Lepisosteus oculatus: one gene and its partners. The protein of the gene in region 1 purifies or fractionates together with the protein of each later gene. This does not show direct contact. Links are inferred from orthologs where the notes say so. Each region holds a gene or a part of one and is shown on either strand. Other genes may lie near its edges. The genes, in order: polr2g, med1, gtf2b and rprd2a.

Evidence for each region.
Region 2: the proteins of polr2g (region 1) and med1 purify together in Homo sapiens (affinity purification with mass spectrometry; 3 studies listed by BioGRID and IntAct, with this or other methods). This does not show direct contact. The link is inferred for Lepisosteus oculatus from reciprocal best matches to the Homo sapiens genes POLR2G and MED1.
Region 3: the proteins of polr2g (region 1) and gtf2b purify together in Homo sapiens (affinity purification with mass spectrometry; 3 studies listed by BioGRID and IntAct, with this or other methods). This does not show direct contact. The link is inferred for Lepisosteus oculatus from reciprocal best matches to the Homo sapiens genes POLR2G and GTF2B.
Region 4: the proteins of polr2g (region 1) and rprd2a purify together in Homo sapiens (affinity purification with mass spectrometry; 3 studies listed by BioGRID and IntAct, counting the BioPlex papers as one, with this or other methods). This does not show direct contact. The link is inferred for Lepisosteus oculatus from reciprocal best matches to the Homo sapiens genes POLR2G and RPRD2.

Annotation. Positions count from the first base shown.
Region 1 is NC_090713.1:22,714,378-22,721,683, forward strand, and holds the start of polr2g (DNA-directed RNA polymerase II subunit RPB7), read left to right. Parts: upstream 1-4,300; 5' UTR 4,301-4,443; coding exon 4,444-4,455; intron 4,456-5,045; coding exon 5,046-5,155; intron 5,156-5,251; coding exon 5,252-5,411; intron 5,412-5,724; coding exon 5,725-5,775; intron 5,776-5,914; coding exon 5,915-5,980; intron 5,981-6,099; coding exon 6,100-6,171; intron 6,172-6,258; coding exon 6,259-6,292; intron 6,293-7,019; coding exon 7,020-7,033; 3' UTR 7,034-7,306. Other genes in the region: pld7 (5'-3' exonuclease PLD4), read left to right, coding at 153-394, 730-913, 1,446-1,560, 1,668-1,795, 1,875-2,078, 2,167-2,472, 2,635-2,734, 2,987-3,192. UniProt on the Homo sapiens protein: Core component of RNA polymerase II (Pol II), a DNA-dependent RNA polymerase which synthesizes mRNA precursors and many functional non-coding RNAs using the four ribonucleoside triphosphates as substrates.
Region 2 is NC_090723.1:5,851,308-5,858,641, reverse strand, and holds the start of med1 (mediator of RNA polymerase II transcription subunit 1), read right to left. Parts: upstream 3,002-7,334; 5' UTR 2,907-3,001; coding exon 2,786-2,906; intron 1,471-2,785; coding exon 1,364-1,470; intron 588-1,363; coding exon 509-587; intron 1-508. Other genes in the region: cdk12 (cyclin-dependent kinase 12), read left to right, coding at 4,932-6,277. UniProt on the Homo sapiens protein: Component of the Mediator complex, a coactivator involved in the regulated transcription of nearly all RNA polymerase II-dependent genes.
Region 3 is NC_090704.1:1,108,633-1,116,340, reverse strand, and holds the start of gtf2b (transcription initiation factor IIB), read left to right. Parts: upstream 1-4,694; 5' UTR 4,695-4,784; coding exon 4,785-4,801; intron 4,802-6,999; coding exon 7,000-7,106; intron 7,107-7,708. Other genes in the region: kynurenine--oxoglutarate transaminase 3, read left to right, coding at 415-601, 2,132-2,205, 2,403-2,489, 3,136-3,201. UniProt on the Homo sapiens protein: General transcription factor that plays a role in transcription initiation by RNA polymerase II (Pol II). Involved in the pre-initiation complex (PIC) formation and Pol II recruitment at promoter DNA.
Region 4 is NC_090722.1:7,118,632-7,125,637, forward strand, and holds the start of rprd2a (regulation of nuclear pre-mRNA domain-containing protein 2a), read right to left. Parts: upstream 3,014-7,006; 5' UTR 2,874-3,013; intron 2,176-2,873; 5' UTR 2,018-2,175; coding exon 1,840-2,017; intron 1-1,839. Other genes in the region: prpf3 (U4/U6 small nuclear ribonucleoprotein Prp3), read right to left, coding at 5,552-5,701, 5,790-5,851, 6,027-6,107, 6,208-6,326.

The DNA of each region.
Region 1 (7,306 bases):
TTTCCCCTTTGAGCAATCTTTGAAGCTGTCCAAATGGGCAACTAGATCCTTTACCTGGAATAGCTGTAGCTCTGCTGAAGGCCGCGGGCTCTCGGCTGGGCGGGAGAGGACCAGCCCAGCTGCTGACCGGCCTGCTCTCTCCCTCCCTGCAGCAGACTGGTTCTCAGCAGGGGCTGACCGGCCTGCTCTCTCCCTCCCTGCAGCTGCGGCGCTACTGCTCCACCCTGCTCTGCCTCCTCCCCCCCCTGCTGCTCCTGCTGGGGGGGGGCGGCCTGTTCCTGTGGCCCTCTGGGAGGCCGGGGCTGGCCGGCGCCCTGCTGGCGCCGCTGGACCTGGACTGGCTGTGGGCCGGGGACCTGTGGGCACGGCAGGAGGCCTGCGGCTCCGACTGCAGGTAGGGACGCGCGGGCGCTGCCTCCACATCCCAGGGATCCTGCTTGCTCCCCACCCCCACCACTCTCTGTGTGAAGACGTGCCTGTGGCCCTTGTTTCTCTGCGGATCCAGACCTGGGTGCTGTCAGAGAATTGGGTGACTCTTGCTGCGTGTGTGGAAAGTCTGTGCTACTGTGCTAATGACCTGATATGGCATTTATCTGGAAGGCCACAGAGTCCCAGTCGCCGTTGTACGCAGTATAATTGTAAATCCGTTAAAAATATCGAAGATCGTGCTGCCGCTGATACTGAAATCAGCAGATTGGAACGTGTCAGTCTCTGTCCCTCCTGGTGCAGCCTGTCCCTGCTGGAGAGCCTCCCTGAGGGGCTGGAGTACCCCCCTGGCTCCCCCCGCCTGACCCCCATCTCCCAGGCCTGGAGAGACCTGCTGCACAGAGCCAACCACAGCGTCAGCATCGCAGCCTTCTACCTCACACTGAGGGACACCGACCTGGAGGCCTCCGAGCCCAGCGCACTGGAGGTGAGTCAGGGAGAGGGCTTGGAGCACTGGAGGGGAGAAGGGAGAGGGCTCGGAGCACTGGAGGGCAGGCAGGGAGAGGGCTCGGAGCACTGGAGGGGAGTCAGGGAGAGGGCTCGGAGCACTGGAGGGCAGGCAGGGAGAGGGCTCGGAGCACTGGAGGTGAGTCAGGGAGAGGGCTCGGAGCACTGGAGGGGAGTCAGGGAGAGGGCTCGGAGCACTGGAGGGGAGTCAGGGAGAGGGCTCGGAGCACTGGAGGTGAGTCAGGGAGAGGGCTCGGAGCGCTGGAGGGCAGGCAGGGAGAGGGCTCGGAGCACTGGAGGTGAGTCAGGGAGAGGGCTCGGAGCGCTGGAGGGCAGGCAGGGAGAGGGCTCGGAGCACTGGAGGTGAGTCAGGGAGAGGGCTCGGAGCGCTGGAGGGCAGGCAGGGAGAGGGCTCGGACGCTCGGAGCACTGGAGAGAAAGAAAGACTTTCAGCTGCACTAGTCATGTGGGCAGAAGGTTAATGAGCTGTCCCTTGTGTGTGTGCGGCGCAGGGGAAGCGTGTGTTCGAGGCTCTGAGGGGCCTGCCAGCTCGAGGGGTGGGCCTCAGGATCGCCGTCAACAGCCCCCAGACGTACCCCAGGGACACGGACGACCTTGCGCTCGCAGGTAGGAGGCCGCACCCCGCACCCCACCCCCAAGCCTGCTCACAGCCCCTGGGGGAAGGCTGCGCGAGTCTGATCCCTGTCCCTCCCTCTCCCTCTCTGTGTGCGCAGGCGCGGAGGTGCGCCCGGTCTACCTGCAGAACCTGACCGGGGGGATCCTGCACACCAAGCTCTGGGAGGTGGACGGCCAGCACGCCTACCTGGGCAGTGCCAACATGGACTGGCGCTCCCTCACACAGGTGCCTCCCTTCCGGCTCATGGCCTGCCCGCCCCCCTGCAGGAGACCGGCTCTGTAACTGGCCGTCTGCTCTCCCGCAGGTGAAGGAGCTGGCCGTCTCGGTGACGAACTGCAGCTGCCTGGCCAGAGACGTGTCCCGGCTGTTCCAGGCGTACTGGCTCCTGGGCTCTCCAGCAGGGGGCGCAGTGCCCGCGCGCTGGCCCCGCCGCCTCAGCGCTCTGTCCAGCGCACAGCGCCCCCTGCAGCTGCAGCTGAACGGGCTCCCGGCGCAGGTCTACCTGTCGGTGAGGGCCGGCCGTCGGACAGCGCTCGTGCGTGACTGAATTTGTGTGCATGCTGCTCCTGACTCTCTGCCCGCCCACTCCCCCGCAGAGCGCTCCCCCGCCGCTGTCCGCGGACGGCCGCACGGACGACCTCTCGGCCATCCTGGGCGTGATCTCGGACGCCCGCCGCTTCGTCTACGTCTCGGTCATGGACTTCCTGCCGGCCTCCCAGTACACTGAGCCGGCCCAGTTCTGGCCGCCCATCGACTCAGCGCTGCGGGCGGCGGCGTGCGCGCGTGGCGTGGAGGTGCGGCTGCTGGTCAGCTGCTGGCCGCACTCCGACCAGCCCATGTTCGTCTTCCTGGAGTCGCTCGGCGTGCCGAACCACCCGCCCCTGAGCTGCCGGCTGCACGTGGTCAGTCCTCTCTCTCTCTCTCTCTCTCTCTCTCTCTCTCTCTCTCTCTCTCTCTCTCTCTCTCTCTCTCTCTCTCTCTCTCTCTCTCTCCCGCTGTCCGAGCGGTCTTCCCCCTCCCCGGCCGGGGCCTCACCGTGCTCGTCCTGTCCTCTGTCTCTGTAGAAAGTGTTCGAGGTGCCCTCCACCGAGGAGCAGAAGATGATCCCCTACGCCAGGGTGAACCACGCTAAGTACATGGTGACGGACAGAGTCGCGTACATAGGTAAGCAGTGCCTTGCCTCGCTGAGCCCCGCCCCACCCTGAGGCTGACTGGCCTATCACAGCCCTGCCCTGAGCCAAGCCTCACTTAACCCCTCCCCCCCGTAGGCTGGCCCTATCACAGCCCTGCCCTTTCTTAGCCTTGCCCCCCCCTCCCCCCCCTGCAGGCCAGCCTCTCAACTTTTCATTTCGTCACGCTCAGCCTTGTACCACACTGACGGTGCCCCGTTCTCTCCCCCCTACCCCCCTCGCGTAGGGACATCCAACTGGTCGGAGAATTACTTCACCCACACGGCGGGCGTGGGGCTGGTGGTGAACCAGACGGGGGCTCCAGCCGGGGCAGGCAAGCGCAGCGTCCAGAGTGACCTGCAGGCCGTGTTCGAGAGGGACTGGGACTCCGGCTTCGCTCAGCCCCTCTCCTCGGAGCCCGCCCACCTCTGCGGAGCACGGGAAAGCGCATAGCCCCGCCCAGCTGGGGGGCAGGGGGGGCACCGTCGCTCGTCTGCTTGCAGCAGCTTCCTGCGCTGCCAAAGCCACACAGCCAAAGCCTGAAGTTGAAACGGAGGAGAGACGCTGGAGTCCTTGTCAGCGAGAGTGGACACCAGGGGGCGCGCTTGATAGCCGTGTGTGTGGAGCTTCTGTCAGAGGGAGTCTGGGACACACACTCTTTGGGCCACGAGGTCCTAAGGATGGATAGTCAGTGTGTGTGTCCCAGGCTCCCTCTGACTGGACCAGTCCTCCCTCGCAGACGAGGCCCTGGACTGGCTCGGGTCGGGTCGGGTCGGGTCGGGCTGCGCTGTTCTCTCTCCACCTTGAGGGAGGTGGGCATGGGGGAGGGTTTCAGTAATAAAAGAAATTGCCTGGGTGGGGGGGTTGATTTTGATCTAATCTGTTCTGAAATGCTGAGTGAGCTGCAGCTGTAGATGTTCGTACCGCAGCGTGTTTGAAGTGAGAGCTTTGTTCGATGTTGATTTTTATTTTTTTAGGAATGGGTTTAGGATTATTTTACGGTGTGAATGCTTCTGCCTGGGTAGTGGATCAAAGCCATAATGAAGCCTCTACAAGAATATAGCAGCGTCCTCGCTGATCTTATTTTGCCTTGCATCCTTCTTAAATTATTTTTATATTTTCTGTTGCCAAATGATATGTGTATATGATGGTTCTTGTATGCACACACCTATCAAAGCCATGTAAAGCCTTTTTTAAATAAAGTTGCCTTCAGTACTCGGAAAGACGGTGTGGCTGTGGAGAGTGAACAGGAACGGTGGAGGCTGGGGTGGCCCTGGGGTCGGTGACGGAACCCACCCTCTCACTGCCTGACCTGAGAGCCAGGCCTGTGGACAGAGGGCTCAGGTCAGCCTCAGACGCCTACAGTTCTACCCATCTGACGCGTTAATTATACTTGCTCACATGAGCCTTGATAATGCTCTACGTTTTACGGCTTTAGTCGTTTGTGGGTAATACATAAACTGAAGAAATAAGGCATAACATATTTCCCTAGATGGGCCCTCTATGTAGACTAACGTGAAAGCGCTCCAGGACTCCAGTGTTAGCACCGCCCCCTCGGATGACGTAGAAATGCTGAGACGGAAACGGAAAGGCGGAGTGAGCGTCGGCGCTTCATTCGTGTTGTAGCGTTGTTGCTTTATTTATATTCGTATTTGTGTAATTAAATTGGGTTTAAAGGGGTTCTCCTTGTGGAAGTGGGACACGATGTTTTATCACGTAAGTAGCTGAATCGTTAATTTCCGCGGTCACGTAGCCTGGCGGCTCTGACTGGGGGAGAACGCTGGGCTCAGAAACGCAAGAATATTCATATTTCATTTTTAAAGTGCAAAGTTCGTCTTTGCCGGAATATTTTATAGCAGGACTGACAGAAATAAACATATTTAAGTGTGCGCAAGTGAACGCGTCTCCATTCTTGCCTGTCGACAAACGTTTCAATGTGAAAGGTTTTATTTTTAGAAATAGAAATGGGAATGCTTCATTTCACCGAACCTGCTTATGAGTTTCTCTATCCTCCTGATCCGCTATGTGTCTCCCAGCTGGCGGTGAATTGGGTCTCTCCTGTCTGGGGAGACTCCTGGGGAAAGTGCGGTGTAAATACAAGGAACTTGCTAAGCGCTGGTCACATGGTGCAGCTGGCGCACCTCACACCAGAGGTTTAGAGGATTAATCACTGCCTCCTCCAGCACCTGCTGAGGTGATGTCGCGTCCTTGTTTGACCGTCTTGTGGAAGAGCCGTGCAACAATTATTTTTAAAAAGTGGGCAGGTGCCCTGGTCTCCCGCTCTGTAACGCCTGCCTCCCTCCCAGATCTCCCTGGAACACGAGATCCTGCTCCACCCCCGGTACTTCGGCCCCAACCTGCTGAACACGGTGAAGCAGAAGCTGTTCACGGAGGTGGAGGGCACCTGCACGGGCAAGTGAGTGAGCGGGATCGCTGCAGTCCGCTCCGCTCCGCTCCAGGTCTTCCCTGCGGCGCAGGTGCTGACGGCCCCCTCTCTCTGTCTCTGTGGCAGGTATGGCTTTGTGATCGCTGTGACCACCATCGACAACATCGGCGCCGGCGTGATCCAGCCTGGCAGGGGCTTCGTGCTGTACCCGGTCAAGTACAAGGCCATCGTGTTCCGACCCTTCAAGGGAGAGGTGGTGGATGCTGTGGTCACTCAGGTCAACAAGGTCAGGACAGAGCATGGAGACCTCCTGATGGCCTGTCTCTCTCTCCCCTTCTCATCCATCTCTCCTTTCCTACCTTCCTAATCACCTGTCTCTCTCTCTCTGCTCTCTTCAATCGTCCTAATGGCCTGTCTCTCTCCCCTTTCTTCAATCGTCCTAATGGCCTGTCTCTCTCTCTCTGCTCTCTTCAATCGTCCTAATGGCCTGTCTCTCTCTCTCTGCTCTCTTCAATCGTCCTAATGGCCTGTCTCTCTCTCTCTGTCCTCTTTTCTACCCTCCTGACGGCCTCCTGACAACCCGTCTCTCCATCTCCTAGGTGGGGCTGTTCACAGAAATTGGACCAATGTCGTGTTTCATCTCTCGTCACGTGAGTACCGGACCCCTCTTCCTCTCTAGTCCCGATGCTCGGCCCTGCTTCCTGTTTCCCTCTCTGCTGCGACTTGGAAGTCTGTCCCAGCTCTCCCTCCGGCGCTGCAGGACGGTAACTGTTGCTCTTGTGTTCACAGTCCATTCCTTCAGAGATGGAATTCGACCCGAACTCCAACCCTCCCTGCTACAAGACGGTGGACGAGGTGAGTCTGGGCTTGGGTTTAACAAGGAGAGGCGCCGCCCCCCCCTCTCTCTCGCTGCCCGCTATTGCAGAGCTTCTGACTCCCCGCCGCTGGTCGGTCTGTCTGTCTGTCCCGTGCAGGACATCGTGATCCAGCAGGACGACGAGATCCGGCTGAAGATTGTGGGGACGAGAGTGGACAAGAACGACATCGTGAGTGTCTCTCTCTCTCTCTCACCCCTCCCCCCCATCTCTCGTGCTCCCGGTAACTCCCTCCCTCATGTTGTTTTTCTCTTTCAGTTTGCAATTGGATCCCTGATGGATGATTATCTGGGTGAGTCCTTCAGTCAGTCATTCCAGCCACTAGTGTTGCAGCATTGTGTGCTGTCTGTCACTGTCGCCCCCTAGTGTCACTGGACTGGGATTGCAGCCCCCAGTGTACCAGACTGTCCTACTGAACTGGAGCCCCCAGTGTAACAGGACTGTCCTACTGGACCGGAGCCCCCAGTGTAACAGGACTGTCCTACTGGACCGGGACTGGAGCCCCCAGTGTACCAGGACTGTCCTACTGGACTGGAGCCCCCAGTGTAACAGACTGTCCTACTGGACTGGAGCCCCCAGTGTAACAGACTGTCCTACTGGACTGGAGCCCCAGTGTAACAGACTGTCCTACTGGACTGGAGCCCCCAGTGTACCAGGACTGTCCTACTGGACTGGAGCCCCCAGTGTACCAGGACTGTCCTATTGGACTGGAGCCCCTAGTGTACCAGGACTGTCCTATTGGACTGGAGCCCCCAGTGTACCAGGACTGTCCTATTGGACTGGAGCCCCCAGTGTACCAGGACTGTCCTATTGGACTGGAGCCCCCAGTGTACCAGGACTGTCCTACTGGACTGGAGCCCCAGTGTAACAGACTGTCCTACTGGACTGGAGCCCCCAGTGTAACAGACTGTCCTACTGGACTGGAGCCCCCAGTGTAACAGGAGTGTTTTGGCCTTTAAAGATGAACCTCACTGTTGCTTGAATGAAGGAATGATCGCTCTCTCTCCGTCTCTCTCCAGGCCTGGTCAGCTGATCCTGCTGCAGAGGAAACTGGAGAAGAGAAGAGATCTATTTTTATAAGTGTCTGGCATCAACCCCCACCTCCCCCACACGAACCCCGACAGCGCAGCACCCCCACGAGAAGCTGCGCCCCAACTCTGCGGCCCCTGCGGGGGGGGGGGGTCAGGGTGTCACGGTTCCGGAGCACGAACCAGTCTGGGGGTGCAGCTCTCCCCAGACTGCGGGCCGAGAGAGCTGCGTTCTCTGGCTGCCCCTGCCCCTGCAGGTGACTCAGCAGGTTCTTGCT
Region 2 (7,334 bases), on another chromosome or scaffold:
CGACCCCGACCCCTGGATCAGTTCGTCACCTCTGCCCATTCCTCCTTCCCCGATAGCAAACCCACTCTCGCCCGGAGAAGGCTAACATCGAGCGGTTCTTTTCCAGTCCAGGCACCCAGATTTTACCTGGACCTCACTGGGAAGAGATGCAGAGCTATAGAAGGTAAAGGGAGTCTGCCAGTGCTGGGCTGTCCCCTCCTTCACAGCGTGTGGTGTGACTAACGGACTGCATTTCCTTGGAGTCTGAATACCTCCTGTACAGCTCTGTAGAATTCCAGAGATATAAACATCTTTTTCAAAACTCTTTAACTATCATAAGCTTGGAAAGAAGGAATTCTGAGATGGCAGATGAAGGAATTCACACAGGTGCACTCTGCTTGACCCACCACGCCCTGCCAGGGCCCGCTTCTGGGCACTGTTCTGTGCAATGCCAGCTGTGTGGTAACTTGTACCGCTGCCCTGATCAGCTCCACACAATCAGCCCTCCCCCACACCCCAATCCCCTCACCTTTCAGGGCTCTCTGCAGCGTCTCCAGGCAGGTGAGCAGGAGCTGGTGTCCCCCAGCATTCAACACATTGCGCTTCTCCTGGGTGGCGGGAGAAAGAGAGATTGAAGGCCTATTAAAATGCACACAATACCCCTGTAATACACACCCCCTGACTGCACTAGCATGACCTTCGCCCTTCTGTACCAAGTCCTCCCAACATTTCGGGCTGACCCCCCCAAGAGCAGCGGGTCCTGAGCCCTCTATCTCCCCCACACTGCTCTCCCCATCCTGCCCCATCCCTCTTCTCTCTCCCTGCTCCTGCTCTCACAATTTTCTCTTATTTGATCTGAATTCTAAGATACAACTTTTGCTTTTTCAACGTCTAGTTTATATCCAGATATACAACCATATTTCTCCAGGAGGGCCTCAAAAAGAAACTGGCTAACCACAATCTAATAACAGTAATAACTGTTCAAACTGTAATATATATAATATAATTATACTAATACTCGTCCAGACTAACCAAAATTGCTCTTATCTTTTGAGCACTGGTGTTTTGTAATGTGAAGAGAATGTCTAATGTTGTCAAGAGTTTGTCTATCCTGAATAAATCCCTTTAGATCTAAATTCATGAACAGAGAGAATATTTGATCCAATCTTCAGTACATGATTGATGCGACAGTCCACATTGAGCAGTGAGCTCTGGGGGAAAGACACACATCTAGCCTGGCCTTTCTCTTCTTTGGAGATTGACTTGAAATCATGGTTTCCTCCCAGGAAGGGGGCAGGTCTGCTCCGGTGCCCTCTCTCTGCCCCCACTCCCCCCCGCATGTCCTGGTGCCTTTATGAGCTCCACCCTCCTCTCCCTCACTCACCATAGCCTGCCGCACCACCTTGCTGGTCTCCTGCCATGGCCGGGAGGCGCAGTGTTTGGCATGAAGCCTCTCCAGTAGGGCACCGACTCTGCTCTGCTTCTCTGCCTCTGAAGGGCGTAGAGGGCACAGGGTTAGGAAGACACACAGAGCACTCTCATAGGGAACAGGGCAACACACACACACAGAGCACTCTCATAGGGAACAGGGCAACACACACACACAGAGCACTCTCATAGGGAACAGGGCAACACACACACACACACACACACACACACACACACACACACAGAGCACTCTCACAGGGAACAGGGCAACACACAGAAAGAGCACTCTCACAGGGAACAGAGCAACACACACACAGAGCACTCTCACAGGGAACAGGGCAACACACACACAGAGCACTCTCACAGGGAACAGAGCAACACACAGACAGAGCACTCTCACAGGGAACAGGGCAACACAAACACAGAGCACTCTCACAGGGAACAGGGCAACACACACACAGAGAACTCTCACAGGGAACAGGGCAACACACACACAGAGCACTCCCACAGGGAACAGGGCAACACACACACAGAGCACTCCCACAGGGAAAAGGCAACACACGCGCACACACACACAGAGCACTCTCCCAGGGAACAGGGCAACACACAGAGCACTCTCCCAGGGAACAGGGCAACACACGCACACACAGAGCACTCTCACAGGGAAAAGGCAACACACGCACACACAGAGCACTCCCACAGGGAAAAGGGCAACACACACACAGAGCACTCCCACAGGAAACAGGGCAACACACACACAGAGCACTCCCACAGGAAACAGGGCAACACACACCGCTAGGCATTTGGTACACAAGGCTACACAAAACTGACAAACTTATCTCAGAGGAAGAACAACAGGTATACTACATACAGCTGTAAAAGCCGCGGCAACCCACTGGCACGGACCCCAAAACTCCCTGCTCCGCATGCAGGGCGATTTACAGCGTTATGGAAGTGCAGATCAAAGAGCTTTCAGGTAGGGTTTCAGGACCACCTCAGCACGATGTGACACTGTTATGATTAAGGGTATGTCTCAGAGGAGCGATCAGCCAAGATATGCGTAGATCCAAATGGAAAGCAAACACGCCTGACATCAAAATGAAATCAAAAACTCATAAAGGGGGAGGAGATCGTCTTATTTATTTTTTTGCAATTTCAATAATTCAATGACTCTTTTCTTTGAAAACGAAAAAAGGCGAAAAGGTATATAAAGGTGATTTTCACTGGCTCCGGTCCAACCCCTGGCGCTCCATTCATAATTTCTAAATAATATTCTCAAGATCTCAACGCAATACAGTAACAGATCAGCGAGAACGCGATACTGTAGCTCTGCCGATCTGCTGTCGACCCCCGATTTCCCCCGTGAGCACGTCATTACCTGTCCCCTCCTCAGGTCTGGGACGATCCCCGATCGTAGGGGGCCCAACGGTCGGTGCCCCGGGCCCGAGTTCTCTCGCTGGGCTACAACCCGATATAACAACCCCAGAAACCGCCGCCATTTTCAATATAAAAATCTTCCGTCGCGCAGGGTAGAGTTTCCGACAAGACTGCCGGGGGCGGGGGGGCGCGGGGTTGTGGCGTCATCAGGAGGCGACTCGGACCGAGCAAACGAGGGTGGAGGTGCTGTAACTGCGGATCAATCGTTTTTCTGCTTTGAAGGACTTTTCTTCAAGAAGCCCCCGGCGACGATAAGGACGTGGCAGATTTTATAAATAAAATCTAATCTGTGTTGAAAGCCATTGCAGATGCTGCTGCTGTTAGTTCTAAAATAATAAAGGCGGAGCTGCAGATCCAAAGATATACCGTGCGTGTGCTATCCGATGCAGTCTGGTTTCTTACTGGGGATCCGGCCGGGCATCCCCCAACAACCTCGAGAAACGTGGCTGAAACCTGTCTCCGGTCCGAAGTAGTTTCAACTTTTCATTTGTTCTTCAGGTGTGTTGGTTGTGTAGAATACAACGTACTAGGAAACGTTACGTGCTTGGTCTTCTGAGCGTTACAAGCGCCAAGAAGTTCTGCAGAGAGTTTTGTTCAAAGAGTAATGATTTACCTATAGAACAGGAAGAATTAAGTGACAAGAGCACAACGGATAATGCATCAATATATATAATATTGCGTAATAAATATGTAATGAAAGTACCGTACAATCTAAGTTCAGCTGACTTTTATCGGCGTTTGCGTATTTAAAAAAACGCCTCTCTCTGGTACCTTCTTAATTTAAAAGCACAAAGTGTTTATGGATTGCGTAATTGATTATTTATATGTAATAAACATTTGTGCTGTGCGTTCCATCAGTTACGGACGTCTAAAAGCAAATAGTGTTTTACTAGTAACGTGGTTTTGTGTTGTGGCAGACGTTACGTATACCCATTGATAGCCTACGTAATTTATAAAACGATTTCGAGCACAAGGAGGTTCTGCTGTCCGTTTAAAGATTAACACGTGAGCTGGTTACATCTGTGCATGGTTTGTTATAAGGGCGAACAAGTTCCCGTTTAAAAACTTGCACCTCAGTGCATTTGAACTTTTCACAACCTGTGGAGTTTCTCCGGTCTCTTCGTGACGCGCCACCTAGAGGTTAATTGGTGGCACTGCAGCCCGTGAGAGGATAAGGGCGGAGCGTCGCTCTGGAGAGGCTGTTGCCCGGTGACGACGAAGATTGACAGCAAGTGAGACTTCCGGCTTCGGCTTGGGGGAGAGAGAGCGAGGACAGAAGCTCAACCTGCTAGAAGGAGCCACAATGGCGTCTGTCCTCTCGTCTTAGCAACAGGGGCAGTGGGTGTTCTAAATCCGCAAACATCGCCCTCAATACAGGCCTGTTAGACTCTCAAGGCCGTTCAAAATAAACTAGAACATCTGCTGCACACGAATATACTGTCATTTCTGACCAATATCAAATATAAAGAGATTAAAAGATTGTCTATATAAAACCGAACATGTAAACAGTACCAACCGGTTCAAGTTTTCATTTTCAGTTTTGTGAAACAATATCGCCCATTCATCATGGATTATGCCTGTTTCCGAACTCCAAGACCGTAAACTGAAGGAATCAAGGCACCTTCCCTGAAGCCTGCTACAGGGCGAGGGGGATAACCAAAAGAGGTGTTGTTTTTTTTCTTTTTGTTTTTACAAAAGAAAAAATAACAGCACAAGTAAAACTGAGAAACGAGGAGAGAGACAGCACGATTGTAACGACTTCATTTAAACCAAACCTCTGCTTGATTTAATCAGCTATGAAACTACACGCTCATCCGCCTATTATGTCTATTTTTCGTTTTGTTTCTTCGTAAAAAAAAAAAAATCTTTCCTTTGAAGGAAAACCAAAACGCCGGACCCAAGCCGCGCTGACCTAGCCGGAATGAACTCGGATTAAGCGTTCGGGACGGAGAACACGATCTGAATTTTTGTTTTTATTGAATCTTTTTTTTTTTCCTGGTGCTTTTTTAGGTACTATTCGCCCTTTAATGCATCGCCTCGGCTGCAGAGGCCCGCATTTGGGAGAAGCGCCGCTGCTAGCGTGAGGGATGCCCGGTTCAGACAGACAACATGGGTCGACCAGGAGGAAGCCGGATCCCAGCGCCAGCGTCTCACTGCCGCCCGGCAGCAACAGCGGGGCCTTCCAGCACCTGCTCCCGCCGCACTCCAGCGCCCAGGCGGGCTGCGTGACGGGGAAGGACGGGAAGCTCATCGCGTCGTCTTCCTCCTCCTCCTCCTCCTCCAAGCGCCGGCGGCACAAGTCCTCCAAGCACGGCCGCGAGTCCTCCTCCTCCTCCTCCTCGGCGCTGGGCCAGGGCCAGGGCCCGGCCGCTGCGTTCGCCACCCTGGGCCCGGCGGCGGCGGCTGCGGCGCCTCCAGCCGTGAGCGCCATCAAGCCGCTGGTGGAGTATGACGACATCAGCTCCGACTCCGACACCTTCTCGGACCCGCCGGCGGCGAGGTCGGCGGTGGACCGGCGAGGCGGGGAGCGCCTGGACGGCGGCTCGGACTACGGTAAAGGGGGCGGGGGCAGCGGCGGGGTGTCCGGGGAGAGCCGGGGCCACAAGCACCGGCACCCCCGCAAGAAGTCCAAGGACCCTCACAAAGTGAAGGACTCGGGTGGTGGGGGGGGTGGAGGAGGAGGAGGAGGGGGGAGCTCGAAGAAGAAGAGCAGCCGGGACAGAGAGAAAGGGACGTCGGGGAAGAGCGGGAAGGAGAAGACATCTGCCTCCGCCTCGGCCCCCTTCAGCCCCGGCTCCACCAGGCTGGGTCTGCTGGAGGGGGAGGTGGGGGCCAAGCTGGCGTCGTCGCTGCCCTCCTCCGCGGCCCAGGCCCTGCTGGGGACCGGGACCAGCACGGCCTCCTCCTCCTCTTCCTCGCGGAGCAAGGACGGGGGCGGCGGCGGCGGCGGCGGCAGGTCGGGCAAGTCCCGCAAGGAGAAGCTACAGCGCCGCGGGGAGCGGGGGGAGTCCCGCGGCTCGTCCCAGAAGGACCGCCGCAAGTCCTCCAAGAGCTACAAGGCCAGCCCCAAGGGCAAGCCCTCGTCCCGGGGCGGCGCCGGCGGCGGGAGGAAGCAGGCGGCCGCCCCGCAGTCCCCCAGCCCCAAGCGGGGGGCCAACGACAGCCCCCCCGGCGGTGGGTACGGCCCGGACGGCGGAGAGGACGCCTACCACCACCATCACCACCACCACCGGCGGCGGGCCCCCCCGCCGCAGAGCCCCAGCCCCTACCGGGACTCGGGGCGCCGCAGCCGGCAGCGCTCCGACAGCCCCTACGGCAGCCGCCACCGCTCCTCCAGCTACGAGCGGGACAGCAGCCCCTACCCCAGCAGGAGGCGCTCTTCCGTCAGCCCCTACGGCAACCGCCGCTCCTCCAGCGCCAGCCCGGTGTCACGGTGAGTCCCGCGCCACGCTTCTGGGGGGTGAGGGTCACGGGTGACCCGAGAACTCAGGTTGGAATTTGTGGTGAAGAAGGGGGTGAGAGGCTCGGGTTGGATCCGACCCCCATTCTCTTGAGTCCTTCTCCGGCCTGCCAGGTCCAGTGCTCTGCCCCACAATGCAGGGCAGATTGACCCTAACTCTCCGGCCACCCGTCAACTCCAAGGGGAAGCTGCCATCAGGGCTGCCAGGTCCTCATAATATTTGGGAAAAGGGCTCCTTCCTACAGGAGAGCTGCTGATGATATTATTGGCGTGTCTTAAGTTCTCAAGAGGATGTAGAGTAGACCAAACGGATGTATATCAGTTTACTGACGTGAAATGAGTGTGTATACCGAGCTGATCATGTGTAAATCTAGGGTGTGTTGTCTACTTTCGTAGCTTCTGAAGGCTCAAAAGGGCCTTCAGAGCGTTCTGCGCACAGGAGCGCAAGGTTTCGGAAGGCCCTGTATGGGGCTGGGGGCAAAGTGTGGATTTGTAATCCTGGGCGCAATTTCTTCCTCATTTGCCCACAGCAGCTGTCTGTTTCCTGAGGTAGGCCAGAGCAACAGTCTTTCACTTTTCTTGTTTGGCTGTAAGTGAAAGCACCAGCACAGCGCTTCAGTAATTTCGGAGGCCGCAGTGTGCTGCACAGAGCTGGAAAATGCAAAACGGCAAGACCAGCGTTCTGCTCACCAAGTGTTGCAGTGTCAGTCCTCTTTCTCGTGTAAAAGTGTCGTGTGCTCGCTCAAGATGGCAGCAGGCCATCAGTGGTTGCATCTAGATTGTGTTTTTTTTCAGTTTTTCAAATTATGCTTTCAGCCCTTTCTCCATCTCGAAGCAGCCGGGAAAGGGTGCAAAAAGTCCTAAGAACTCTGACTAAAAGGCAGAGCTAATAACAAACTTGTAATATTGATGACTGGCATGCTGTAGTTCCCTTTGATCAGTGCCAGCAATCAAAACTGTGATAGTGTTATTCTCTGTAAGGGTCTAAACTTGGGGTAGTTTTGTTTTGAGTAAAGAGCTGCTTAGATCT
Region 3 (7,708 bases), on another chromosome or scaffold:
GATGAGCCGCTGAAGACATCACACCAAGCGAGTTGTAGAAAATCAGGTCGTGTCCCTCAGTCGTTCTTCCCCTAGTGGCATCATGAGAAAAACTGTTTATAAATCAGGGGAGCTATTCAGCCCACCTGGCCCAATGTGGTATTGCAGTTAGTAGTTACTGGAATCGATCCCGTGCAGCCATTGCGTCGAGTCAGCTTCAATAACCTGGCCAGACAGCTTGTTCCACACTCCCACCACCCTCTGTGTAGGGAAGCGTCTCCTCCTCTCGGTTTTATTGTACTTCTGCTCAGTGTTTCCGCCTATGACCACAGTGCTCCCGTCGGACAGTTGAGGGAGGATGAAGGGGAAAGTGATCTGGCCTTGCACTGATTTTTGTGCTCTTGCGACTGAGAAGGCCCCATGTCTGCCCCGCAGGAGGCCGTGGCTCAGGGCCTGCTACTGGACTTCAAGCGCATGGGTGACCCCGACTGCTACTTCTCGTCTCTCGCCCGCGAGCTGGAGGGCAAGAGGGATCGGATGGCCGGGATCCTGGAATCCGCTGGCATGAGACCCGTCGTTCCCGAAGGCGGCTACTTCATGCTCGCGGACGTGTCTGCGCTGGGTGAGTCGGCTGTTCCACCGGGGTTTTCGGGAACGTGTCCTGCCCTTCTGGAAAACTGTCCCAGGCTCACATAGCCGCAGATCAGTGAGGGCCACTGTTTCCACGTCGTCATGGGGGGGGGGGCTTTGGGCTCATCACAGACAGGTTGTGGGTTCGAGTCCCTGCTGCAGACACTGCTGTTCCTTCAGTGAGATACTTCAGCCCAGTTTCTCCCGTCCTCCCAGCTGTATAACTGGGCACCGGTACTGCTGGGGTGTCATCCCTGTGATGGACCAGTGTCCCGTGCTGGGGGAAGTCGCCAGCACTCCAGACCAGTAGACACTACAGGAGCTGGGATGAGCTCTGTCCCAGTGAGTCACTGTGGCCCTGGTGTGAGCCGTGAGTTCACCTCTAGAGCCTCTAGGGCAAAGAGCTTGCACTCGCAGTCTGTGTGAGCCCCTTACACACACGTTTCCCAGATATTTGTATGTCATTTTTAGTGAGTGAAAAGAGGGAATTGGATTACATACACTGCTAGCATATTTCCCCCTCAGCTTCATAGTACATTAGACATGTGATGGGTAAAACATTTAATCAGCAGTGAATCAAAAATCTTATGACACAAGTGGAAATTATGTGCATTTAGGGGACAGATCAGGAGACCCGTCTCTACACAAAGGGTGGTGGGTGCTTGGAACTGGAACCCCTTGCCCATTTAAACTGATTCCAACAGTTCTGACACAGGACAGCTGGCTGAGAACCTCAGACCAACGGGTTACGAGTAGCAGCAAACACAACGGGCCACACTGCCGCCTTTAATCTGTTCTTCTTACAAAAGCTATGACAGTGTTTGGGCCCTGTTCTGACTGCGTTTGCTCACAGAGGGGAGGCAGGGCCCTGGTACGAGAGCTGAAGAGCCCAGTGGTGCTGGGAGACTGATCTCGGCAGAAGGCAATGAGTGTGAAGAAAACAGACAATGAGCTCTTCTGTCCAGCAAAGACAAGAGCTGTCGCAGTTCAAGACACTGCGTACTGACAGGACTGTGTCACAACGCTGACTTTGTTCACATCAAACAGGACTCCTTATTCTACACATTGAAGGAACAGTAATGCACAGCAACTTGTGTTCTGTTGTCAGTGTAGTGTAGTGATGAAGGGTTTTGTTTTAATTTTAATAAGTAGCATAGTGATTTTTTCCCAGAGTTAAAAACTGTACTTGTGGTCCGAGGGCTGGGACAGACGGCTAATCTGTATCGAGCATGGAGAGCACATCACAGCACCACCAGGGCTCTAGTTCCTGACTTCCCTTGCCTGTCCAGCATTCCTGCTCACAGCGTGGGAGGGTAGAAGTGTGCAGAAAAGTAGTCCAAGAGTATGGAAGTGTAAAGAAATTGGTGTGAGGAATGTGCTCTGCACAATGACCGTTCGCCTTAAACGTGATACACTAGAGAGAAATGGCCTGCATGACTTCTTCTTGTCCGTGAGCCGTCTGGTGGATTCTGAGCACTGCAGAGCCTGTGTCCGAGCGTGACAATGTTTTCTGTCTGCGCAGACGTGGACCTGTCTCACGCAGGAGACGACGAGCCGTACGACTACAAGTTTGTGAAGTGGATGATCAAGGAAAAGGTACAGCTCTTTCCTCCTGCTGTGCTTGGGGAGTGCTGAGTGTGTGCTTTGTGGGAGTTTTCCACAGCGGCAGTGAGTGCCCATACCCAAAACAAATCAGATGAGGCAGACCCTACCGCATGAGCAGGCAATTAGGATGTTATTGGAGTCACAGAAACCTGGGGCCCTTCTGGACTTTTTTTTCTTTTCTCTTCCAGAAACTCGCAGCTATTCCAATGACTGCCTTCTGTGGAGAAGAGTCTAAGAAGCAGTTTGAAAAATACATCCGATTCTGTTTCATCAAGGTAGCCTGCTGCTTTTCTGCCTTTATGAAGGCATCTTTCCCTGGGTGTCCCGAGCAAGTCTCCCCCTGCTGGCAGCACGCCTGTCCTGCAGGCGATGGGCTGCCTGGCGTGGTCTCCTGTGGCCGGGCTGAGACTGGCCTGTGGGCAGTGGGAGTTTCCCTGAGGGTGGCCGAGCAAGACGAGACAAGGCCTTGCTTTCTCACGGTCATACCTCTCTTGTAGGATGAACTTAAATTTAAACAGGCTTCTGTTTAAAAAAGGTTTGAAAAAACGTTAAAGGCAAATGCCAAGACAGGAACTTGTTTTTGTCTGAAGGCAAATGGTAGCAATGGTAAAGGCTGCTGTGTGCAGGCAGTTTAAGCACAATAAACGTGCCGTGTGTAAAACGGCAAATCAAAGCTGAGTGACCTTCATGATGGCCGTATTTCTTCTTATTGGGGGACACCAGAATGGTGGCCCTGCTCATGGCTTGTCAGGACTTCAGGCCCAGGCCAGTTGTATTGAATATGACTGACACAGTACAGCTGATCACCTGAATTCCAGTTATCCGTTTAGGCCAGCTTGAAATGAATGGATACTGATCCCGCTGGCGAGTTTTGTAGAGTTTGAGCATTGCGCTGACTTTTTGTTTTCCCTTATTTTGCAGCGAGACGACACGTTAGATGCAGCAGAGGAGATTCTTAAGAACTGGAACAGAGCGGCGCCTGTCTGATAGTGAAGACCTGGCCCTGGCCCTGGCCCGGCGCCGTGTTAGCTATCTTGCAGGGAATGTTACGTTTTGAATTTGATGATGCGTTGAATTTGAGCTAATTGAAACATTTCAGTATTGCTGTTTTGCATCACCAAGTTTATTACCGTGATGGTTTGAGTATTTCTGTGTGATGCAGTGGCCTTTTCCATTATACCATTAAAGCATTTTTTCCTGCAAGTGCTACTTAAAGTCTTTTATTATCCTGCGTTCGGCATTTCCCCTGTCTTCTCCTCAAGGTCCCTGCAGTTATCTCTGTCCTGTGAGGTGGTTTTCTCCTGGAGAGGAGCTCGTATCTCACCCTCATGCCGTTTAAAGGACATTTAATATACAGGTCTTATCTGTCGGAAACTAAGAATGTGTTGAAATGCTTTCCTGTTCCTAAAAATGGGAAATAAAAAGAAACGTCAGTTCAGAGTTATTTACACAATTATCACAGCAATCTTATTATGAGAGACTGATTAAATTAAATTTTACGAAAAGCTTGTTGGAGTTGGATAAGACCACTTTATTAGCCATATACAATTTCTTGCATCAGGAATTTCTTTTCACATGAGACACAGACAGATGGACAGGGAGAGAAGCTGGGGGTCAGCCATTTATACGGCGCCCCTGGAGCAGCTGGGGTGAAGGGCCTCGCTCAGGGGCCCAACAGAGTAGGATTTCTCTGCTGGCCGCAGGATACGAACCGGCAACCTTCCAGCCACAGGCGCAGATCCTGAGCCACAGAGCCACCGCTCCGCCTCTGCATTCAGGAAGAGAAGGACCGTAGATACGGTTTGGGCAGCGAGGGGGTTTGAAATGTGTCGCTCCTGCCGTGTCTTTGAGTCTGTGTGCCGACGGAGCTGAAACGTGTTGAGCTCTGAGAAGGCTCGAGGCGCAGGAACAGACCTCCGCCTGGACCTTCGGAGTATTTTGATATTTGAAATCTTTTTTCTTAAAACCTTCTCTACCCTGACTAAATCTATGCAAGTGAAAAATAATTTCTGCTCGTTATGAAGTTTTTATTGTCAAAGTTTGTTTTTTTTTTAGCTGTGTCTGCGAATTATTTTAATCGTTCCATTCGTTATTTTTATCTTTCTATTGCCTTTTAGAAAGTCACTCGAAAGTCAAAGCAGCGTACTTGATCGTATTGTCTGCGTCAAATAAATTAAAGTAGTTAATGTACTTTGGACAAAATGCGGTAAAAAATGAAAAAATAAAGATTTTTATTCACGTACGAAATGAAAAACCTTCATTGTATGCCTACCGCCTGTCATTCCGTAAAAGTCAAAGTGGTAAAATGGCGCAGGATTCATGACGTGCATTTGGAGTTTAAAGTCTCAGATTTGTATTACATGCAAATGGAAGTGGTATTGAAACTTCAATTATGATGTTTTTTTTTATTTGGAAATTTGCACGACAAAGGGAGTGATTAAGGACGTGTATGAAGTTTGGGCCTCTCGGCTGCCCGTACGCTCTCGGGCACGTGACGAGCGAAGCTATAAATAGAGGTGGGGCGCAGTGCGTGTCCGCAGTCGCTGTTGGTGAGCTCGACTGAAGGCAATATGGCGTCTACTAGCCGGTTGGTATTTTTTAATCATACGTTTCTGTTGTTTCTAAGGTCTTGTGCGGTAAACAAGACAGGGGCGGGGGGGGAGATAAAAGTATCGAAAACAAGCTCGGAAGGGGTGCCATTAACGGGGGGCCGGCGGTACTGGGTGTTTTTTCTGCGTTTCGGGGTGAGCCGGAGGCGTGTTGGGGGCGCCGTGAACAGTCAGCAGACTCGCCGGGGCCGCTTGATCCCCTCTTTGTGTCTGAAACAAACCTGCCCGTGGGACCCGGCGTGTGCGTGGGCGCGCACACGGGGGTGCTTGGTCGAAACTGCGTGGCGAGCGGGATTGAGGCGTGTTGGCTTAATCTCTGCCTTGCCCTCCGTGCGCGTCGGCTCGCCTATTGTCTGGCTTGCCTGCGTGGTGCGCACCGCGGCTGCCCGGGATGCGCGTTGATTTCACTCTCGGGCAGGCTGTCCGGCTGTCAGTGCGGTGAGATGACCGGCGGGGGTGCGAGTTGGGGGAGCGGAGAGCGATGACAGAATCGAAACCGGAGCTGATGTACCGACAGGGCCCCACTCACCCCCCCCCAGCACACCGCCGCTGTACAGACACCCCCCCGCCAGCGCTCTCGGTGCCCCTGTGTTTCACTTCTGACCTGCTTTGACGGCAGGTGTTCTCTAGTATCAGACGTGTTTTATAGTTTCGGGAAAGAGCATATTTCTAGCTTGAGCTTATTCACGAGAGGGAGGCTTCGGTTCAAACACGGAACGTGAGCTCTTTCCATTCCGTTCTTATTCACGATGCACGGCGCTACGCAGCAGTGTGGGTTTTGGAAACCTCAGAAGTAAAAGCCACGGAGGCGCAGTGGCCAGCGGTGCTGGGGCCCCGGGCTGCTGTCTGTGTGGAGTCTGTATGTTCTCCCCGTGTTCATGTGGATTTCCTCCCACAGTCCAAAGCCATGCTGGTAGGTTAATTGGCTTTTGAGTAAAACTGGCGTCTCGTCTAGGGTGTATCTGGCCTTGTGCCTGTTGCTTGCTGGGATAGCCTTCGGCTGCCCTGCCAGCCTGTCTTGGATAAAGTGGTTAAAACATGGATGGATGTGCAGAAGTGAAAATATGGGACGAATTGTCTTGGAACTGTACGCCCTGCGCTTGGTTTAAATAGCATGGAGGTTTGGAACAGTTTGTTCCACTACTTGTCGATTTCATAGACCTTATTCTCACCTGTTTGTGTGTCATTGTTACACTAGTCGTCCTTTGATAGGACTCCCGCTGTTACAAAGCCTGTAACTATCATCTGGGTTAGCCAGCATGTTTACAAAAAACAACACGGACAATATAATCGGCTCTGAAGTTCTTCCAAAGGTTTGCTGCTAAACAATTCTCTGGTCATATCTGGCTTTCTGATCTGCAGTAGGACACAGTGTACTTTGAAAGCCATGCTGTGTAGTTTTTGTTCTAGGAGTATTTTGCAGGGAAACTAGGGTAATTGTTTTATCAGCTAAGTAATGAAGCTCGTAGTCAGTCCACGATGGCAGAGCCAGACACATTAGTTGCATCACTGTCAAATTGTTAGGAATGAGATTTTGCACTTAATCAGAAACACATTTTACATCGATAAGAATAATTCTAGATAGTTGTACAGCTGTTAATAAGCTAAAAGACTTTGTATACTGGCAGCATGCGTCAGGAATCATTTTAAAAGTTTCTTTATAGAAACCCTGTGTCCAAGTTTTTCGTGCAGCTCGTGCACCTTCTTGAACTTCAATAGAATGGTTTTCACAACAAAACTTCAAAAATTAAGCTACTTACGTTTCGTTTCTGGCACAGCATCTTGAAGTTTTTCAAAAGCGTTTATAATTTCGGCCTCATTTACAAGTTGGTGCTGTACAGTTGGGCCTCTATCAGACTTGCGCTGAACTCCAGCACCGTCGCCTCTGACCGAACTGGGAAGTCGGCGGTCAATCCTGCGCAGGTACACCTGGCCGAGCACTGAGGTCCGTTTGCTACCTGGAAGTTTCCCTGGAATTTCCTGTCATAACCTCCGTCTCAAGGCAATGCTACCCTGTCGCTCTTCGTTAGTGGGCAGGGACAGAAGTGTTCCCTGTTGAAGACCTGCTAGACCACTGCGTGTTGAAATGTTCTGGCTGTGGCGGTGCTGCTACATGTGGTAACGGCGTGTTCCAGCGGGTTCTCTGTTGGTCTGACATGTGGTTGCTTCTCCGCAGTGGAGATGCCCTTCCCAAGGTCCAGTGCCCCAACCACCCCGATGCCATGCTGGTGGAGGACTACCGGGCCGGAGACATGATCTGCCCCGAGTGCGGACTGGTTGTGGGTAAGACAGCGAGGCGCGCGTCGTCGTTCGGAAGCCAGAGAGCAGCAGGCTCTGTCACAGTAAAGAGGCTTTCGGGCATCGACAGGCTTTGACTTGACTGCCGCGGCCCTATGACATCACTTCTGGTGCGCTGGGTTTTGATGCGCACGGATTCAGGCAGTACAGGAAAATGAAAGCTACATCCGCCAACTGGAGAACAGAATGTGTCCATCTTCTAACCATGACTAAGCGTTTTTTTTTTTTTTAGATTTAGGCTGACTATATCAGCGGTTCGGGTCACGGGTCCTCTTCGACTGGGCACACTGTCAAAAATCTGTTGGTCTGGGGTTTGAAGTCATTTCATTCTTAAGTGGTTTATTTTTTATCATTTAAAATCAACATTTGGTCAGCCAGTTGTGTGCTGCAGCTCAGGGAATCCTGGTTGTTTTAATACTAAGCATTGGTGCTTTTGACTGTCTGGGTGTCTGTTGACCATCATGGCTGCCCAAAGCGGCTCAGAGCAGGTGTGTCAGGAGGGCTCTCCCAGGTGAGCTGACACGAGCGGTCAGTGGTGTCGGGGATCAGATATTCTTCCACTATCTGGAGGAATGGCTTGATAATCT
Region 4 (7,006 bases), on another chromosome or scaffold:
GAAGAGGGAATCTCCGGGCTCAAGCAGGCTGCTTCCGATGAAGACTGTTCCCGCCTGTTACAGCGTCTACACCAGGAGTCGGCCACCTACGGCACCGGCACCGGCACCCAGAGGGGCTTTTAACAGCACGAGCGAGGAGAGCAGCGCATGCAGTACACATCTTTCAGAAACCAAGCTAAAACAGTGCCAAACAGTGCGCTGGGCTGTGCTGCAATTCTCCACAGCACGCCACCCAAGGAGAGCAAGACGATTCACTTGGTTTCTTTGCTGCATTATTTGTTAAGGGGGGGGCCGCCTGCTGCTTTCACAGGAAAAGCCGACATCGCCACGCGAACGAACGCACCCGCCCTCCGTCCGCAGGGTGCCGATCGGACCGGCAGGGGCCTTTTCAAAACACTGAAGCCGGTTCTTCGCGGGAGACGGCCGCTACTTCCAACATCGTCAAGAACGAGCCGTGTTCCAAAGTTTGGAGTCTACCTGCGAGAAACGGCAGGATTTCCAATGTTTTGGCCCGATGTTTTTTTTTCTGGTTAAACCTGACGGATTTGCTACCAGCAATACAGATATTTCCCCAGCAAGGATCACACTCAACGGTAAGAGGCGCATTTAAATGTATTAATCTTCACATATAACAGCCAAAATCCAGGTTTTATTCATCAGAAGCAGAGCTATTACTGACATAAATTGAAGTGTGAATGCCAACTCCCACTGGGTCAGATAACCTGGGGAAGGTTTGGAACAGAGAACAGGCAGCGATTCTTTAGCCCAAGAGTTGTGGGAGAGTGGAACAAGCTGCCTAGCCGATACCCTGGTGTTTCTAAAGACGCAGCTGGGTGAGATCCAGGGATCCAGTTTGTAAGCTGCCTCCTGTTGTGTCCGCTCCTCCTGGGAGCGAACCGAGCACGGCCGGACCCAAACGGACCGGGCCGGTCCTGGCCGGACCCGGGAAGGCAGCTGGCGTGCTATGGCCAGGGTCTACAGAACAGGACTCCCCACACAGGACCCCAGACCCACCGCAAGGCCCCCCGACAGGGCACTTCAGCAGCCACCCAGAAACACCCTGTGCGCCGCAGGGCCTCCGAGAGCAACACTGCAGGACCACCACCAGGGAGACACAGGGGGGCCACAGGCCGGCCCCCCCAAACCAGAGAGTCACACACAGGTGGGCCACAAGCCGGCCCCCCCAAACCAGAGAGTCACACACAGGTGGGCCACAAGCCGGCCCCCCCAACCAGAGTCACACACAGGGGGGCCACAGGCCAGCCCCCCCAACCAGAGTCACACACAGGGGGGCCACAGGCCGGCCCCCCCAAACCAGAGAGTCACACACAGGTGGGCCACAAGCCGGCCCCCCCAACCAGAGTCACACACAGGGGGGCCACAGGCCACAGGCCAGCCCCCCAGAGAGACACACAGGGGGGCCACAGGCCACAGGCCAGCCCCCCGGAGAGACACACAGGGGGGCCACAGGCCAGCCCCCCGGAGAGACACACAGGGGGGCCACAGGCCACAGGCCAGCCCCCCGGAGAGACACACAGGGGGGCCACAGGCCACAGGCCAGCCCCCCGGAGAGACACACAGGGGGGCCACAGGCCACAGGCCAGCCCCCCGGAGAGACACTTTCCAACAGCTATTCCACCTCCCCAGCACACCTGAGCGGGCGGTGGGCTCCTCAATGACACCGCACTGCTGCTGCAGAATCCCACCCAGCCCACAGACACAGCGCCAGGCCTGTGCGCACACCGCTCCCGGCCCAGCGCCCGTCCCGCAGACACGCTCGCCGATGGAGAAGCGGGGGACACCGCATTATATAACCCCGGCCAGCCCCGGGATACTCACATTTCCGCAACCACTTCATCCAGTAGCGCACGATGACGGCGTTGTGCTTCTTGTTCTCGATACACCAGGTCGACAGGCTCTGGATGGACTCCATGGTGTTGGAGACACCCTGGAACTTGCGGTCCAGCGAAGACTCCAAAGCCGAGGAGCCCCGGCCGCTGCCTCCGCCAGCCGCCATCTTTCTCGCACTCAGTCGGCCAGGCTGCTCGGGAGCGCGCTCGGCCGTGGGCGACGGGAACGCGCGCTTCACCCGGTCACAGCGCCGCCGAGCGGGGACGCGCGCCCTCTCTCCGCCAGTGGGGGGCGAGCCTATGCCTGTTTGTGTCGTTTCACCCCCTCCCCAAAAAAAAAAAAGAAAAGAGAGAGAGCGGCCTGAGTCCGAGCGATTATTAATGAGTCCCGCACGGCGGTGGGCCCGTTCCCGGCGCTCAGGTCGTAGCGGGCTCTTTCCCGCGCGCGGCCGGGTCGCCGTGGACTCGAGCCGTTCGTTTTTTTTTTTTAAAAAACAGTCTCGGTCCACCCGCTCGTGCGTCACAGAACGCGCCCGATACAAGTTCTGACGACTGAACTGCAGCGCGAGGCTGACAACGCCGCACGTGTCTCCACTTTATACCCTAAAGAGCGACACGGCCCCTCGCTGCCGACATCACCAGCTATGGATCCAGCCGATATCTGTCGATATCCTGTGCCGCCGCCGCCGGCGGGAGGGAGGGAGCCGGGCTACACGAGCCCCCCTGCCCGTCCTCGAGCCCAACCGTCACCTCTTGCTCTCCTACGGACGTCACCGAGCGCTGAGCGCCTGTGACAGACGCCGCCTCAGCGCGTCGGTTTGTTTCTTTAAAACGCTGTTAAATGTTTTTTTTTAATGGGGTAAGAGTCACTCAGAGAAAAGACAAGACTCCACGGAGCTCGCAGCACCGAGACCTCCGAGTTCGCTTAAGGAACCCAAAACAATGCAGTCATGGTCTACTGTACAGATAAGATCGCTACACCAGTTCTCTCTCGATTTATTTGGCATTTTTTTATTTTATTACCGATTCTTTGCTACGACTCAACGCTCTTACTCCTCCGTAAGTTTATTTTGCTGTGTCTCGCGTTTGAGGCGGCAGACCAGTTCCACATCCCAAACAACACGGCTCTCCGCCACCTTGAGCACTTTCCCTCTCGGCGCCGGGCGCGCGCGCGCGCGTCCCCGCTGGCCCGGCGGCGCCATTCCGGGAGAGAAGCGGGGGGGGACCGTTCAGACTTGTCAGCTTCTCTGGAGACATCGTTTGTCTAGCCCCCCTCCAATACAGGTTTCCTATTATAAAAGAGAAAAATAACAACACACCTAGGCTTTATTAGTATTTCTACTTAAAATGTGATGGCAGCCTGCATCTGTTTAATTTTATACGAACCCATGTCAAAATAGTACCTTCCAAAATGTACGGGTCACGTTTAGGGACATTTTATTCTGAGAGATTCGCGTTTAGTTCAAGCCTAAAAAAACGACATCAATACCAAGAAACAAGTAAATGTTTATTCCATGCTGAAAAGAGGTGTGTTTCTGCTGCGACCCTCCATGTCTTCCGCATGGAATAAACCTTTACTTGTCCCTTCGCAGCTTACGCATGCTGAGGCAGCTCCCTACTTGAACTTCATCAGAACTAAGGCTGCTTTTCAAAACTCATCGAAATGTCAACGGATGAATCCGTGTTACATATCGGCTATTAAGATCGCACGGTGAAGACACCTGTTAAAACCGATCTACCTATATATTTAAACTATTATTGCAAAATGACAACTGTACTGGGACTGTAGCTCCTATTGTAACAGGACTGTTCTACTGCACTGGGACTGTAGCTCCTATTGTAACGGGACTGTTCTACTGGACTGGGACTGTAGCCCCTATTGTAACAGGACTGTTCTACTGGACTGGGACTGTAACCCCTATTGTAACGGGACTGTTCTACTGCACTGGGACTGTAGCTCCTATTGTAACAGGACTGTTCTACTGTACTGGGACTGTAGCTCCTATTGTAACACTGTTCTACTGCACTGGGACTGTAGCTCCTATTGTAACGGGACTGTTCTACTGGACTGGGACTGTAGCTCTTATTGTAACGGGACTGTAGCCCCTATTTTAACAGGACTGTTCTACTGGACTGGGACTGTAGACCCTATTGTAACAGGACTGTCCTACTGCACTGGGACTGTAGCCCCTATTGTAACAGGACTGTCCTACTGCACTGGGACTGTAGCTCCTATTGTAACAGGACTGTTCTACTGCACTGGGACTGTAGCTCTTATTGTAACAGGACTGTTCTACTGCACTGGGACTGTAGCTCCTATTGTAACGGGACTGTTCTACGGGACTGGGACTGTAGCTCTCCAAGAACACATGATTAGTCAAACAGGAAAACATCTCAACAAAAACAAAGAACCCAGCATTTTTTTCAATTTTTATTGTTTTTGTTCAAAATATGTACACTTTTACAATGTCATTCCATTGACTGTACAGAGCAGTCAGTCCACAATAATAATGGTGAAATGTGACAACAGATAGACAGAAACGACTGTAACGGTCAACTCTCAGAACAGGATTCAGAGTTCTCCTAGCACTACGCTGCCAGACTGTCAGTGCACAGCAGTCTGATCCACTCCAGGTTTTACAGTACTGCCAGTCAGACTCCCAGTGCACAGCAGTCTGATCCACTCCAGGTTTTACAGTACTGCCAGTCAGACTCCCAGTGCACAGCAGTCTGATCCACTCCAAGTTTTCTTATCCACTGCAGGGCTCTTGTGCAGATTGTTACTTACAAAATAGAAAAACAAAGATATATACACACAGTATTTAATATTAACTCGATATATCTGATGATGAGCTATGGTCTCAAAACAAGGCAGCAAGCATCACATTTGCAGTCCTGGTAGTGATTCTGTCCCCCAAAAAATCCTGGAATGGATTAGACTGCAGCTAGTTGAGAAAATGGGAAGGATCAACTCTAATAATCAACTCCTTGTGGTCTCCTGCGTTGTCTCCCAGTCTCTCCAATTCCTGTTCTCAATCCCTCACTTATCCCAAGTATTCCTAGTCTATCAGTCCTCAGCAGTCTTTCCAGTCCTCCCAGACTGTCATGCTCCAAATATTCCCAGTCTTCACTGTCTCCCAGTCCTTCTCTATCCCAGTCCCTCTGTCCCCCAGCAGTCCTAGTCTCGAAGTCCCCCGTCCCCCAGCAGTCGCAGTCTGCCAGTCCCTCTCTCCCCAAGCAGTCCCAGTCCCTCTGTCCCCCAGCAGTCCCAGTCTGCCAGTCCCCCTCTCTCCAGCAGTCCCAGTCCCTGTCCCCCAGCAGTCCTAGTCTCCCAGCCTCTCTGTCCCCCAGCAGTCCTAGTCTCCCAGTTCCTCTCAGCCCAGCAGTCCTAGTCTCCCAGTTCCTCTCAGCCCAGCAGTCCTAGTCTCCCAGTTCCTCTCAGCCCAGCAGTCCCAGTCTGCCAGTCCCCCTCTCTCCAGCAGTCCCAGTCTCTCTGTCCCCCAGCAGTCCTAGTCTCCCAGTTCCTCTCAGCCCAGCAGTCCCAGTCTGCCAGTCCCCCTCTCTCCAGCAGTCCCAGTCTCTCTGTCCCCCAGCAGTCCTAGTCTCCCAGTTCCTCTCAGCCCAGCAGTCCTAGTCTCCCAGTTCCTCTCAGCCCAGCAGTGCTAGTCTGCCAGCCCCTCTCTCCCAGCAGTCCCAGGCTCTCAGTCCTCGGCGGTCTCCAGCACAGACTCGCTCAGCGCCAGGTCCCAGTAGTGCTCCGTGCCGTGCTTCCTGAAGTGCTCCCGGGCCATGTTCTCCGTGGGGCACTGCTTGAACTTCATGTCCCCGAAGCTGCGCTCCTTGGCCGTGCCCTGCGAGAGGGGACAGGGCATGAGACAGGCCGGGACTCCGGGTCTGGTGCCGACGGGAGGACAGACGGGAGGACAGACGGGCACTCACCTCCCAGACCAGAGAGCACTTATTCTTCTTCTTCAGCCCCTCCTCGTCCGAGCCCTCGGCATCTGCAGGGAGACGGAGCGACAATCAAGGTCACACCGTAGGGAGACCCGAGAGGCACGAGGACAATCTGCACAGACACAGCGCCCCTTCACCTCTCTCCCCTGTCCCCCTCTTCCCGTCCCCTCCCCCACTTCCTCTCCCCTGTCCCCCTCTTCCCTCTCCCCTACCCCCGCTCACCATCCCGTTTGGAGTTTGTCTGCTCATCCCACTTGATCCGGTGAAGCATCAGCCGTTTGAACTTCTTCTGCGCTTTGGGACCTGCGGGAAGGAGAGACGGGGGGGGAGATGAACTCACTGGTCACTGGCCGACCGACTGACCGCCTGCCCCCCTTGGGCCGGGAGACGCCCCCCTGCTCACCTCCCTCCACCACCACGATGTTCACGTCCCGGTGAAGGACCACTGTGCCCGTCAGGTACAGCTGGTTGGCGTTCGCCTCCACCTTGAACTTCTTCGCGGGGTTCGTGAGGTTTCGGATTCTGCGAGAATGACAGTGTTTTAAGAGACAGTCCGTTACAGTCACCTGTGCACTCACCTGATCTCCTCCTCTCACCTGTCCCCCTCCTATCCCTCCTCTCTCACCTGGCCCCCCCATCTTCCTCCCCCCTCACCGGGCCCCTCCTCCTCCTTCACCTGGCCCCCCCATCACCGGGCCCCTCCACCTCCTCCTCCCTCACCTGCCCCCCCACTCCTCATCCCTCCTCCTCCCTCACCTGGCCCCTCCTCCTCCTCCCCCCTCACCTGGCCCCTCCCCCTCCCTCACCTGGCCCCTCCTCCTCCTCCTCCCTCACCTGGCCCCTCCTCCTCCTCCCTCACCTGGCCCCTCCTCCTCCTCCCTCACCTGGCCCCTCCTCCTCCTCCTCCTCCTCCCTCACCTGGCCCCTCCTCCTCCTCCTCCTCCTCCCTCACCTCGCCCCTCCTCCTCCTCCTCCCTCCCCTGGCCCCTCCTCCTCCTCCCTCACCTGGCCCCTCCTCCTCCTCCCTCACCTGGCCCCTCCTCCTCCTCCCTCACCTGGCTCTCCCCCTCCCCTGGCCCCTCCTCCTCCTCCCTCACCTGGCCCCTCCCCCTCCTCCGTCACCTGGCCCCTCCCCCTCCTCCCTCACCTGGCCCCTCCCCCTCCTCCTCCTCCCTCACCTCACCCCTCCTCCTCCTCCTCCT